3 linked regions of the Oryzias latipes genome follow. Each later gene encodes a partner of the first gene's protein in a complex. Links are inferred from orthologs where the notes say so. Each region holds a gene or a part of one and is shown on either strand. Other genes may lie near its edges.

Evidence for each region. Proteins that work in one complex are often made in the same cells at the same time.
Region 2: the proteins of pcna (region 1) and zranb3 are in contact, whole or in part, in a crystal structure (PDB 5YD8), measured with the Homo sapiens proteins. The link is inferred for Oryzias latipes from reciprocal best matches to the Homo sapiens genes PCNA and ZRANB3. Residues at the interface, in NP_002583.1 of Homo sapiens: Met40, His44, Val45, Ser46, Leu47, Gln125, Leu126, Gly127, Ile128, Pro129, Asp232, Val233, Pro234, Tyr250, Leu251, Ala252, Pro253; in NP_115519.2 of Homo sapiens: Asp1071, Ile1072, Thr1073, Phe1075, Leu1076, Val1077.
Region 3: the proteins of pcna (region 1) and pold4 are in contact, whole or in part, in a crystal structure (PDB 6HVO), measured with the Homo sapiens proteins. The link is inferred for Oryzias latipes from reciprocal best matches to the Homo sapiens genes PCNA and POLD4. Residues at the interface, in NP_002583.1 of Homo sapiens: Met40, Ser43, His44, Val45, Ser46, Leu47, Val123, Glu124, Gln125, Leu126, Gly127, Ile128, Pro129, Gln131, Tyr133, Asp232, Val233, Pro234, Tyr250, Leu251, Ala252, Pro253, Lys254, Ile255; in NP_066996.3 of Homo sapiens: Lys4, Arg5, Leu6, Ile7, Thr8, Ser10, Tyr11, Pro12, Val13, Val14, Lys15.

The regions. Positions count from the first base shown.
Region 1 is NC_019867.2:6,551,350-6,555,943, forward strand, and holds pcna (proliferating cell nuclear antigen), read right to left. Parts: upstream 2,897-4,594; 5' UTR 2,655-2,896; coding exon 2,434-2,654; intron 2,217-2,433; exon of another isoform or gene 1,787-2,216; coding exon 1,689-1,786; exon of another isoform or gene 1,600-1,688; intron 1,594-1,599; coding exon 1,526-1,593; intron 1,507-1,525; exon of another isoform or gene 1,451-1,506; coding exon 1,256-1,450; intron 1,174-1,255; coding exon 1,050-1,173; intron 976-1,049; coding exon 899-975; 3' UTR 552-898; downstream 1-551. UniProt on the Homo sapiens protein: Auxiliary protein of DNA polymerase delta and epsilon, is involved in the control of eukaryotic DNA replication by increasing the polymerase's processibility during elongation of the leading strand.
Region 2 is NC_019860.2:17,688,695-17,693,034, forward strand, and holds the start of zranb3 (DNA annealing helicase and endonuclease ZRANB3), read left to right. Parts: upstream 1-1,486; 5' UTR 1,487-1,735; coding exon 1,736-1,747; intron 1,748-4,152; coding exon 4,153-4,325; intron 4,326-4,340. UniProt on the Homo sapiens protein: DNA annealing helicase and endonuclease required to maintain genome stability at stalled or collapsed replication forks by facilitating fork restart and limiting inappropriate recombination that could occur during template switching events.
Region 3 is NC_019859.2:1,163,586-1,167,938, forward strand, and holds the start of pold4 (DNA polymerase delta subunit 4), read right to left. Parts: upstream 2,855-4,353; 5' UTR 2,721-2,854; intron 1,464-2,720; 5' UTR 1,396-1,463; coding exon 1,290-1,395; intron 865-1,289; coding exon 781-864; intron 507-780; coding exon 395-506; intron 71-394; coding exon 46-70; 3' UTR 1-45. UniProt on the Homo sapiens protein: As a component of the tetrameric DNA polymerase delta complex (Pol-delta4), plays a role in high fidelity genome replication and repair.

The DNA of each region.
Region 1 (4,594 bases):
CATGCAAAGGAAATTGATTTGCGCGTCAAAAACAGCATGTCATTAAAATATTCACGCAGATTCAAGGCAAAACTAACAGAACTTAACAGACCCACAGTCTGATGTATTTGCATGAATATGTAGATTATCTTTGTTTCATTTGAAGGTGGTCCACTTTAATAATGCTGTGGGATGTAATTTCTCTGAAAGCAGGCTCAGAACTCAGATTATGTGGTTAAATCCCAATCAGACCATCAAAGTGAGCTGCTTTTTTGTTCACTGTACTGTAAAGCTCAACCTAACACTGTGGATAACCTGGAATATCTCATGCTGAAAAGCTGATTTTTTGGTCACGTTGAAACCTCTTCTACCTTAAAAAGGGGGAATAGCACCACCCAATGGGCGTTTTCTGGTTACACATCTTTTCCTCTGGGACAGGAGCAAAAAATAAAATCTATTTGAATTGCATACCAACAGATGAAAAATAACAAAAATATCTGAAGTTTGACCCACACACATGTGCACTTATTAAAGGTTTGCTAGTGAAACTATAAAGTGGACAGCAAACAACGTTTTTTAACAACTTGAATCCTTTATTTCCGATTGAATTTATGAGTACAAAACATTTGGAGCTTGCAGTGTGACGCCACAGGAATTATTTACAGAGGTGTTATCTACAACAGAATGGATACCTGCAAACAAACGGGATAAAAAGAGGGAGAGAACAGGCCTAAAACAATTGCTGGAAACTACGACAGATGTGTCTGCCAGCTACTCTGAGCGTCCCTGGACTTCATTTTGAGCCCAGGAACCTCAGAGTGACCACAGTTCACCACAGTAAGATCCCTTCAGTCCTTCAGGAGGAGTCCCAGTCATCCATCACCTGCATTCTCCCCCCTTTTCGGTCTGTGCTTCCAACTTAAGAAGCTTCCTCATCGATCTTCGGGGCCAAGTAGTATTTGATGTGTCCCATATCGGCAATCTTGTACTCCACCACTGTGAACAGATAAATGTGATGAGGTCGAGCTTCAGCAGGTGTGATGACGGACACACAACGTAAGCCACCTTACCAAGGGGGATATCAGCAGACATGCTAAGGGTTACAGTCTTTGACAGCGGAGTGGCCTTGGTGAAGAAGTTCAGATAGTTGAGAGCAAAAATCAGCTGGACGGGTTCATTCATCTCAATGGTGACCTGAAGGAAAGCGGGAAGTTACAAAACGATGTCAAAACAAACCGATTTTCCTCTGCAGGACAGATCCACCCCTCATACTTACGGCCTCTTCTTCTTTGTCCACATTGCTGGTCTGGGACAGCTTGATGTTTCCCGTGCCCAGCTCTCCCGAAGCGGAGAATTTAACACCGTCTTTGGCACAGGAGATCATGACGGCGTCGCCGATCTGCGACAGGTCACGGCAAATACGGGCGAACTCCCCGGAGGGCATCTTCACCACGCAGCTGTACTCTTGTTCCTGACAGGAGCAAAGAAAGTGAAGATCAGGGAATGCTGGGAAATACTGCAGAAGAGGTAATTAAAAAATACCTACTGGAATGCCCAGCTGCTCCACATCCAGGTCCATCAGCTTCATTTCATAATCTGAAACTTTTTCTTGGTCTGCAGGAACACAGAAAAGTGAAAAGGAGCATAAAGACTTTGGAGGATTTTCATCAGATGAACAGTTTCCGTATGACGAACAGTTAGAAACTTACTGATGGTCTCAAACACAAGAGCCAGAGTGTCAGCGGCGTCCTCCGCTCTGAGGGTGATGATGTCCTCATTTCCCGCACACTTCAGGATTTTGGACATACTGAGAAAAGCAGTAAAACATTTGAGCTTTTATTTGAATAGCAAAAATTTAGCTTTTATTAATGTCACCTTTTAATCTATAAGTATAAAGTACTATGTTTGAAGTAAATTTATTTTAAAAACGATAACGTGGTATGTTTAAAAAAAATGATCCAAGTATTTGTATCAACATGCTAATCTAATTCCGGAAACTCTTATGAAAGAGTGACGTAAGCGGAAGTGCAAGTTCCCGGGTTTTGAGGATTCCCGCCAACACTGCCGGCAAGAGTTTTGGCGCTAAAGTACCGCAGCAAGTGCGGCTCTGTGACAGCGCAAAGACATATTTGCACATGTCAACGTTTTAGACGTTTTGTTTTTTTGCTGGTTGAAATCAGCGAGTGGACAGTAAAGAGTTAACCGAGCAGGGAGACATGCCCGGGCTTCTCCAGCAAGATGGCCTCCTTTGTCGGCCTCACAACGATCGACGTTTCACTCGTCCAAGATGATTTTGGCGCCACACACGATTACCATGAACAATTCGTAAATGTCTGAACTTGAAGTCAGCCCCTGATAATCACTTTAAATACATTTAATAGGCAGAACACATGACATGCAGATTATACACGAAGCTTCCCTCTTATTAAACTTTGTTGTTTTTCTCCCCGTCACCTGCTAAGGTTGACTCCCATGGCGAGGTTTCTGTCGCAGCGGTAAGAGTCGAAGCCGTCGTGCCGGAGAGTGAGCTGCACCAGGGATACGTGAGACGAGTCCATGCTCTGCAGAGAGATGCCGGACGAACTGACGTCCCAGCAGGCTTCTGTGATCAAATCCTTCAGGGCTTCCAGGACCTTTTTCAGGATGGAGCCCTGGACCAGGCGAGCCTCAAACATGGTTATTCTGTGGAGGGTTGCGTAGATCGAAAAAGAAGGCAAAGGTTGGTGGAGGTTTTCAGCGCTGCTCCGGTAAAAGGAGGCTGCAGTGAGGAGTAATCACGACGTAGGCGATGACAAAGCGGCTTTGGCAGTTCAGTCTTTGTGTGGCACGCGGGCTACAGACGCGTCTTCTACAACAACCACAAGATTTGAGCTGGAAGCCCGCGCAAACGCCTGTTGTTTAATAACGCTGCGTCGTTGCGTCATTTCCGGACGTGTGACACACTTCCGTCAATAAAACGGAAGCTGGATGCAAATCTGCAAAAACATTTTTGTTTAGAGATTTAAAAAGGAATCTGCTTGTTGAAAAGAATTATTTTCACATTTTGGGCATGTAAAACATATTCCCGTAGTTTTTAATACAAATTGGGAATATTTCTGACTTTTAAAAATATTACAAAAATATTTTAGAATGAAATTAAAAGGTCTAATTGTTTTTGTTTTTAAAAGAAAGTGACCTCATTCTTAACAAAACACTGGTTAAATAAATGTTTTCTCTTGTTTGGTGTGGTAGATTATAATACTCTTAAAATAAAGTGAGAAGAGTTTTCTTAAGTCATCAGATGTCCTGCAAAAATGACACTAGTTACTATATTAATTAAATCTGAGGAAATAAGCTCCTAATGTTGATCAATATATGGAGTTGTTGTACATTTGTAACATTGAATGCCTGAATAATATTAATTTGTCTCATGTTTTACACATATGTTTGTTTTAAGAAAATTGCATCATTTACAAATGTACAAAACAAAAAGATAAACGTTTAAATGATGTTACTAAAGCATAATGCATAATATTCAGACTGTCTCGGGCCAAAGTCCTCTTATCAAAATCCCAAGGCACACCACCATCACTCACACACACACTAAAACTCTTTCGACTGCATTAACAATACGCATTCTCATCAAAGAGTCTTGAATAAGAATCAAATAAACACGAAGACAAATTTTTTGTATGATTTTTCATATTTCATGTTTGGATGAAAGCAGAGCTGATATTCTGGCAATTGTAAATGTTTTTTTTAGACCAATTAGACCAAAAGAGTGAAATTGAATGATTTTCTATGACACAGCTGATTATCCTTTCCAGTTTTCTTTTTATGTTTATATTGATGAGAATATATTGAGAAGAATAGAATTTTGCTGAGTAAGAAAAGTTAAAAAAATTTTTTTAATCAAGTATATCCAAAACATCAGTAAAACTTCATCTTCACATTTATTTTATTTGCTTAATTTTTAATATTATCACTGGAGCAAATATTCTGCCCCTTTTTTTACACCTTCTGCTCCTGAGTCTTAAAGATGCAAACCTTTACAGTGGAAAGTATCAATTTTACTTTCCACTGACTCCAACATCTTACTGAACAATACAGACTTTGTTAACACCGATTATGACTAGTTTAAATGTATGGAGCATCAAGTTTCTTTTTACTACTTTAACCTCATGGATGTTGTCAATGATTGCTTGATGTTTTATGTGGAATTTGCATTTTAATAAATAAGAAAAGCTGACACACAGATTCAAAACTAATTTTATATATAAAATTACACTCAGGAAATGTAATTTCTTCACCAGTATTTTCTTTGGCATTGTCTCAGTGCTGTTTTAATGAAAGTAAAAACACCTCAAACATTCTTGAGGTCACTGGTTCAGCTTCTGAGCTGCCATTTTTATATATATTTATCTGTGCTTCCTCATACAAGAGTTGTTCCAAAATTAGTGACACTACTCTTCAAAATAAACCAATCTGAACAATAAAGTTGCTGTAAAAACCTTTATTAGGCAATGTGCAGTTCTTGATGTGACACGAACAACAGGAAGTTTAAAAAAAAAAGAAGCTTTTTCCAAATACTTTTAATGCTCACAAAATGAAATGTTTTTGTAAGCAACCCCTGAGT
Region 2 (4,340 bases), on another chromosome or scaffold:
AATAATATTTCTTGTTTTTTAGCTGCAGAAGAAACTTCTGTCACCACATCTACTGTTGAAAGGGAAACATTTGACTGTTTTACTTTTCACTGTTTTCTTTTGTTGAAGTTCTGTATCTTATGTTCCAGAGGCTCCAAGAGAGACTATGGAAGAGGAGCAGACTGGATCCAAAATTCCACCAACCTCCAGTCCAGTTGGTCCAGCTGAATCACCAACCACACTCTCTGATCCAGTAAGAATGGATTTGGTGCAGAGAGGTCCTTTTCAGACTGAGAAAGACTATGACTTTCCAAAATCCCCCTCATTGAGCTGTTGTGTTCTTTATGTTGGATTTTTTTATCGTTATTTGATTTTCTGTTAAGTTGCTGTTTTAAATAAGTTGGAGTTTTGTGAATGTCATTTGTTGAGTGCCTAATGTTACATTAAAAAATATATATCTATATGCCTTTGTCATTCATATTTATTTCTTTGCATTTAAAATTTGTTGTGCACCACTAAATGTGCATCCAACATGCAGGCAATATACTGTATTCAATTCTTCGGCAGCAACAATAATTCACAAATGTATTAATGGAGATATTTCATTTATATTACAACAACAGTTGCGCTTTGTTGGTGCTGCAGATCAGTTAGAGGGCCCACAAATAAAATTTCGCTTAGGGCCCCCAGAAGACCAGGGCCGGCCCTGCCCACAGCAGCTTGATTTTTTTAAATTTATTTTTTTATTTCATGTTCTCAGGATACTTGGGGCTTAAATAACCCCAACATTAAAAAAATCGTATACACAAACGTTTACTGAAGTGCTAAAAATGTGCTTTTAAGGCATGTTTTGTTCGCTATTCCATTGCGCCAATCTCCCTTTACAAACGTAGTAGTTTCACTTTGTCTTCGTTTCTTCGACTCTACAAACCCAAATTACAAATTATAACACATCGACACTCTAGTATATCAATTTATCTTAGATTCGGCTTATGAAAAATATGATTTGAACTGCAATTAAACACTAAAAAACGACACTTATTAGGCCGGTGGAGTTGCATACATTAGCATACTTTCCGCTGCAGCTCAAGACAGTCGAAGCAGGCCTAAATGTTAATTAATTAAGTCCTATTTATATGAAAAGGTTGTTTTTTTTTTCATCAAAACGCCGAATTAAGCTACGACTTTCAGAGTTTAAATGCGCTTTAGATGGAGGTTTGTATTTGAAAAGGCAACTTAATAAGTCGGAGAGCGAGGTTAGTCGGTCGGTGCTAAGCTAACGACTCTTACCTGGCTAACGACCTAAAGCGGCCGGCAAAGGGTGCCGTGACAGCCGCAAAGTCAGGTTTGTCTGCCGACCCAGTGGCTAAAACTGACCGGGTTTTTTTTTTTTCGTGACGGTTGTGCGGGGGTTTTCTGACGTGGGCTTACCGCTTTGTTATAGGTGAACAGCCGTTGATCTGGCGGAGGGTGAAGGAAGCAGCCGCTGTTTGCGGCGGAGTGAAGGAGAGACACAGCGGGGCTGCTCGTGCGTCAGCGCCTCACGCTCGGCACGCGGGCTGTTAAAAATATGTCACGTCTGGACGTAGATTTTTTTTTTGGCGGCTTCTGACGGTGTCGTCATTTGTTTCGCATCGTCCCAGAGCGAAATGAAAGTTATTTCGTTGGTACTTTAAGACATGTTAGTGCAAATGTAGCTAGAATTATAAAGGCTGAGGGAAAGCGACGGAAACTTGAAGTCCCAGGCAGCTTTTTGATGTTTCAGCGGGTAGGAACCTGTTCGTTTTTTACAAACATACCCTCTTCGTGTTAAAACATGGCCGTCATCATAACATTGGCCCTTTAGACTAAAACATTTTTAACAAATCAACCTTTTTGTTATAACTTTACTCATTTTAAGAGCATTTTAAGTTCAAGCATGTGTCTTCTTTAACATTGAACACCACATTTATGAACTTTAACCTCATAGTTTCCTCCTCTTAACTTCTAACTACTTACTAAGCCCTATGTATTTTTGTTTTTGCACTTATTTTCATTGTAGTTGTTAAAATGTAACAGTTTTTCTCCTAATTTTGGTCTCTGCTGCTTTCCGTCAGCCATACAACTTCTTTTGGATGACGTCACAACTTGTTCTGCGTTTAAATTTTTGCGGCATAATCTGATTTCTTTTCTCCAGTATCTCAATAATCTCAATCTTTTTTTTTTTTTTTTTTTTACATATCAATACATACATATTTAAGATTGTCTTTGGCCATGCTAGCAGATATTTAAACTAAGAAAAACTGGCTGGTTTTGCAAAGTATTGCCTAGAAGGTAGGTTTTAACACAGAAAACCTGGACTTTTAAATATTTTTTTAAATTGTATTTTTATGTCTTTGTTTTCAATCGTTTATTTGGCTTCATAATGGACACTAAGAACACTTATTTTTTAAATCTGATTTAAGTAATCATATTTAGAGAGCTTTTTACTTTACATTCAACTATTTTTAATCTACAGCAAGATTCCAAACTTTCTAAAAATGACTTTGTGCTTCTCATATAATCACTGGACATAGACAAATAACCCTGGCCTCAAACTAATTACACTGATTGATGACAGGATTGAGAAAAGATGGCCCTAATTTAAGTTCTCGCTTGATTTTGTGAGATTATACTTTAAGGATGTATTTTGTTTTCTTTCTTTAATCTTTCCCTCTTTTCTGTTTTACATTTTATTGTCATATACAGCTGTAGTTTTTACACCTTTTCAACTTTCATCTGCATATCTGTATAATTAAAGTATTTTTATGGAATAAGTTGATTCCGATTTATATTTTAGTTTATTGTTGGTGTGCACATATGTGCAAAAATATTTTTAAATATGTAAAATTCAGTAGTACAGTATTTCCACAGGTTGAAGATGATAAAGAAAATATTTAGATTTTTGTTTTGTTTGTGGTTCTGGAATTTTGACTCATTGCAGTAAAACTATCAACCCTACAAGGAAAAAGTAAAAATGCTTTTAATTTTTCTGATAGATCTGTGGTGTGCTTTTTATGAAGGATGGTGTCTTCAGTATGGATAACAGCTGATAGCAGTGTTTACATCCGACATTTCTCTGATGGAAGTTCAGACGCTCCAAGGCCGCTTCGGAGTCGCACGCCTGGTTCCACATTGAGTCTGACTTTTAGTTAATATTGCATGAGACATATTAATACCCTTAAAGACCCACTCTGATTAAAAAAACAATTGTGTTCTTGGTGTTTTTAACATGTTCTTGTGACATTTCTCTGACGATGAAGGACATATTTAATGAATATTAAGCTTTACATATTATTTCTGAGTATTTTTTAATTAAAATTGCTGTGAATCAGGAACAGACAATAAAACGATGTTTGAAAAAGCTTGTAGTTCTTATGTACAAACTTCAATTCACTCCCTTCTGATGCATCCATTGCAAATGTTTGTGACATTAGGTTGGGGGTGTGAGGGGCTGTTAGCGAGTGGGTAAGTGCGTAAACAGAGAGCTCATAGTTATGGTTGACGGGGAGAGGGAATGGGGCTGCTTCTTGGTGCCAACAGTCCACAACTCAGAGGGGAATTTTTAATATACTCCTGCTGCTCTGCAGTAACTATGTCCTAAAAAATGACACAGATTTTTGGCTAAAAACGGCATAATCATAAATAAAAACCATTTTGAAAATAGATGAAAGGATGATCGGAGTGGGACTTTAAGAAGCTGGAAAAACGGTCACTTGCTAATAAAAATGTTATTTTTAGTGCAGCAACATCAGTAAAACATGGAGGATGTTTATGTTTGAGTGCATATGAATACAGTTTGATACATTTAACAGGACATCTTTCAATAATACTTCTGAGGGCCAGCCCTCTTGCTGTTTTACATCTTTTCTTGTATGTGTTGGGTGTTTATGAGGTTTTATTTATTTTTATTATTTTTACTATCTTTGCTATTTTGTTGTGTTTGTAGCAGGAAAAGTGCATACAAAATAAAGTTGAACTAAATTAAAATTTTAAATGCTAGAATTTGGGTTTAAGGTGGACATTTTTCTTCCCCGTCTTAGAAATAAATGTCCCCCCCCCCCTGTTTTATTGTTAATTCTGTCTGTACCCAATTATGAGGATTACTTTGGGAACATTTATTAATGAAGTTTACCTTATTTTTCATTTTAAAAGTCCGATCCGCCCGAGGACCACTCACCGGTCGAGATGGCGGATGATGGCGGATCGAGCTCCTGCCGGGCTGGAAGATGGTCACAGCAACTGTCAGGACTTCCTAACAAGCTCCTGCAGCGTCTGATGCCCTTCCAAAGAGAGGGTGTGGAGTTCGCCTTGTCTCTGAACGGACGGTGAGCATCTCTGCA
Region 3 (4,353 bases), on another chromosome or scaffold:
TAAAAAGGTGGAACTTTGCAGGCTTTGGCTCCTCCTCCTCCAGACTCACAAAGGATATTCGCTCCACAGGCTGAAAATAAAGGAGATGAAGAGTCAGAGTTTTTAAAGAAGATAAAAATCTGTGTCTGAGATTAAAGAGTTTTAAAAATCATCCCTGATGTCAGAGTTTTTAGTGCATCATCTCCGTTTTTTAGAGAAAGTCTGCATTATTTGAACGTGGAAAAGCCGGATTTCAACATTTAGAAGCATTTTCTTCCTGATCATCTTCAGGAGCCGCTGCGGTTCTGCCAGGACTCCTGAGACCCGGACTCCTGTGACCCGGACTCCTGTGACCCGCCTGCAGACGAGCTGGCCGTAACAGTAGGACAGTGTGTGTTTTTTCAGGACGTGTCACCTCAGGCTGTACTCGGGGTCGGCGGGGGCTTTCAGCAGCAGCTCCCTGATCTCCTCGGGGGGGTCCAGGCCGTGCAGCTCTGCTCTCTCCCACCTCTGCAGACGACTGATCCCTGAAAACAGAGAAGGAAAGCTGCACTCCTCCCTCCAAGAGGAGATGCTCCCCCAAAACCGTCTCTTTTCTTCCCATTTCAGGTCAAATGTGAGGAAAGTAGGTTTAATTATTTAACATGAAAGCATTCCTGTGATCTCTAGAGGCTGGAGCAAAGTCCGGCAGACACGTTTAGATCTGCTTCCTATAGATCAACCAGACCCCCCCACCCCCCCACCCCCCCAGTGCTGCTCCAGCTGCAAACTGAAGGCGTGCCCCCCCATCTGCTTCCATACCTGTGCACGGCCCAAATCTCAATTCCAAGTCGAAGTCTCTGAGCTTCTGCAGCGCCTCCTGCTGGACGGTGTCTGCAACATTTTCTGCAAAAGCAGAAAACGGATTTCAAACAAAAAAGTCCTGAAAGGTAGAATTTATTTTTTAATGTCTCTTTATAATTATGTCTGTAAAGATTCTATTTCTATGTCATTTACAGTTTGTCTCTTCAATACTCGTCTGTTTTTGTACTCAGAGAAACAGAACACGTTTTTACAGCCCTCTGACAGAGGAGGAGACACTTTTCATGGGACTCTTGACCTTCTGTAACCTTTCAGTGACCCGGGGTGACCTTTCTGTGACCTCCTGTAACCTTTCTGTGACCTCAGGTGACCTTTCTGTGACCTCAGGTGACCTTTCTGTGACCGCGTGGCTCGTGCACGCCGCGTGGCTCGTGCACGCCGCGTGGCTCGTGCACGCCGCGTGGCTCGTGCACGGCGCGCACATCAGCGGACACCCGGAGGATCCCCACCTGTCCGAGGGGGGGGCGGCGTGGGGCTCTTCTCCTGCTTCCTTTCTCTCTTCTTTTTCTTCACCACCTTGAAGGAGTCAGTGATGAGTCCCCGCTTGGTTGTCATGGTGACCGGCTGTACCGATGATGCAGCTGCAGACAGAGACGATGACAGCGTCCTGCAAGTTACTCTACCTGTAACAGATTACTCGTCCATTTGAGTAATACCTCATCTCACAGAATTATTGCACAATCAGTTTCTTTATGATTCCTCCAGAAGCAGGACAGAACGGTCTACAGCAGGCATGTCCAAAGTCCGGACCAAGCGCCATATGCAGCCCGTTCTGCAGGCTCCTGTCATTAAATCAATAAAAATCTTCAGAACTTTCTAAGGTTGAGGATTTCTGGATTTTGATTGGTTAAAACCAACAACCTGCAGCTGCTTGAGCTTCAGAGCCAAACGAGGAGATTTATTGTTTCTGAGATCTAAACCAAAATGATTTGAACTTCTGAATAACTTAGATTCATGTGACTTATGTTGGAAATAGTGAATCGTTTGTAACATTTCATAGAAATTCAGATTTAATGTTGACCAAAATTTTCCAGACAGACTTTTTCATCTCTGGTCTTCAAATATAAACATTCATAAACATTCACAGTCATTTAGGTAAAAACATATTTAGATCTGTTCTCTGTGAAGACATGAAAATACTCATTTGCATTTATTATAGTATGGCTGCTGAGAAAGCAGCATAAATCTGGCTCCTCTTCACAAAGGTTGCACCTAAAGTGATTTAAATTGTTCTCCTTTTAGAATTAACAGGTTAAAGTTGGTCAGAAAAGCACAAAAATGAAGACAAATTAACCAAAAACATGCAGTCATCTGTATTTTCTTCTAGGATCCAGTTCATCTTTGTGATCCTGCTGCTCTGAACGACATTTTAAAATGCTGCTATGGAGGAAAACTCAGTAGGTGATGTTCGTTGAACTCAAACACATTTAGGAATTTCTTATTTTTTAATCAAAGATAAAAATCAAACAAACAGAAATTCCTGATGATTTAAAGTTTGATGGAGTCTGTCTGCTTATGCATGAGGACTTATTACATCTCCCTACGTTTATTATAAGGTTTTCGTAAAAGTTTTTCTAATAAAACAAGTTTGACTTTTTTCAAAAGTGGAATGTAGTCTGAAGCCACGCCCCTTTACCTGCTCGAGCCTTTATTACAGCTTTACGGACAGTCTAAACACGTAATTACACCTTAACCGCAGTTATCTATGAAACATTATCAGACCTTAATGTCCCAAATATATTTCATTTTAAAAACTAAATGTTTTTATGATGAAATCTGCAGGAAAATAATATGCTTTCACTTTTGACTAAACACGGTACTGTAGTGCGCCTGCGCCAACAGAGTGCTCAGAAAACCGAACAAATACGAAATGAACTCACCTGATTTTGGAGAACAAAAAGATTTCCGTGAATATTTATTCCTCTTTAACAGATTTGCAGAAAGCAGCAGGGCGGAGGACCAAAACAATGACGGCCACGGCGCGCGCTCTTCTTCGTGTTTCTGACCAGTTGGAGCGCCGCGCGCCTCTGCTGCCCCCTGCCGGCGACTGTTGAACAGCAGTTTACCACACTGACGCAAACGGTCTGATGCAAGAATGAAACGAAATGACATGAAACGAACCAATAAAAACACATCAGGAGTTATTATCTATATAAAATTTTATCTTGAATTTTTAAAGATAATTTTTTCTTCTTCGTAGACATGTTACAGTCCTCAGAAACTGTTTGAAAGCTGCAAAGTCTGCCTTTAGCCGGTTGCTGTCCCTGCAGTTTAGTAAAAATGACTTTTATAGAATTTTTGGGTGTGGTGCAAAGCTTATGGGGTTTTGTGAAGCACTTTGAAATGCCTCAGCGGGTCAAAGATGACAGAGATGCACTTAAACAATAATATGCCATTAGAAGATGCACTCACACTTAAAAAACAAACGAAGTCTGGCAAAAAGCAGCAAACTTCTCTCAAACCTCAATCCATCCATCAGTGAACAGAAGACACGCCGTCTTCCTGTAGAGGCCCATTAACTTACAGACCCAGGAGGACGATGCAGCGGCGTGATCTCTGCGGTCTGCCCTTAGTAAAAGACTCTACAGCGAAGACGGTGGGAATGTGGCTGGAGGTCAACCCCTAATGATGGCTGCCTGGAAGGACGCCGCCGGGGGGACCGCCGCCGGTTTCCTCTTTCTCTACTTCTCTGGTCCTGAATGTCAAAATCAATAAAAAGCAGTTTGATTGGTTCTCCTCTGATGTGTCTGTCCATTAATCTCCCATTTTCCATGTCAGAACACTTCCATGTGATCCGTCTGGATGTGCGTTTGTGTTTCGGGGATTGTGTGCGTGTAGTGATGCAATAAAGCCTCGACACGGTGAGGACAGTTTGGTTCTGGTGGAAAAACAACAACATGCCATTAAAAAAACTTGTATGTGGAGGTAAAGGCTCAGAGAGGAACTTGACGGTTCCCTTTGGAATCCCTGATGCGGCTGTGAAATGTCAGACTTGGAGAACATCAGCTGCTGCTGCTGCTGCTGCTTCCTCACACCCTCGCTGGGGGGTCCGCGAGCGCCACTCGCATAGTTCACATCAGCTTTTGTCTGGCATGGTACTGGTATGTATGCGTGAGCTGGGTTCACAGAAATTTGACATGTACAGTTCATGGATTTCAGTTTCTCCTCATAAAAGATCAAACGTTAAAGGTCTCAGGTGAGCCGTAGCACAAAAAAGTCCTAACAGCTGCTAACTTGATGATCCCTGCACTACATCACGTCTAACCTTCCCATACAAATAGTAAGAGCAATATTTTTATGAACATGGTTTCACTTTATTGGACAGTAAAATATTCTACAGTAAATGACTTAGGTGGTCTCCAGGGCACAGCCCCCCAATCACGTCTCTAGATCCTCCTGAAGCACGGACAGAGGTCTCATTCCTTTCAGAAACACGTTAAGGACATGTTGCAGCCGTGTCCGGCGTGCACCGGCTCCTCCCCCAGTCTAGACCAGAATTCCAGGTTCCTGCGT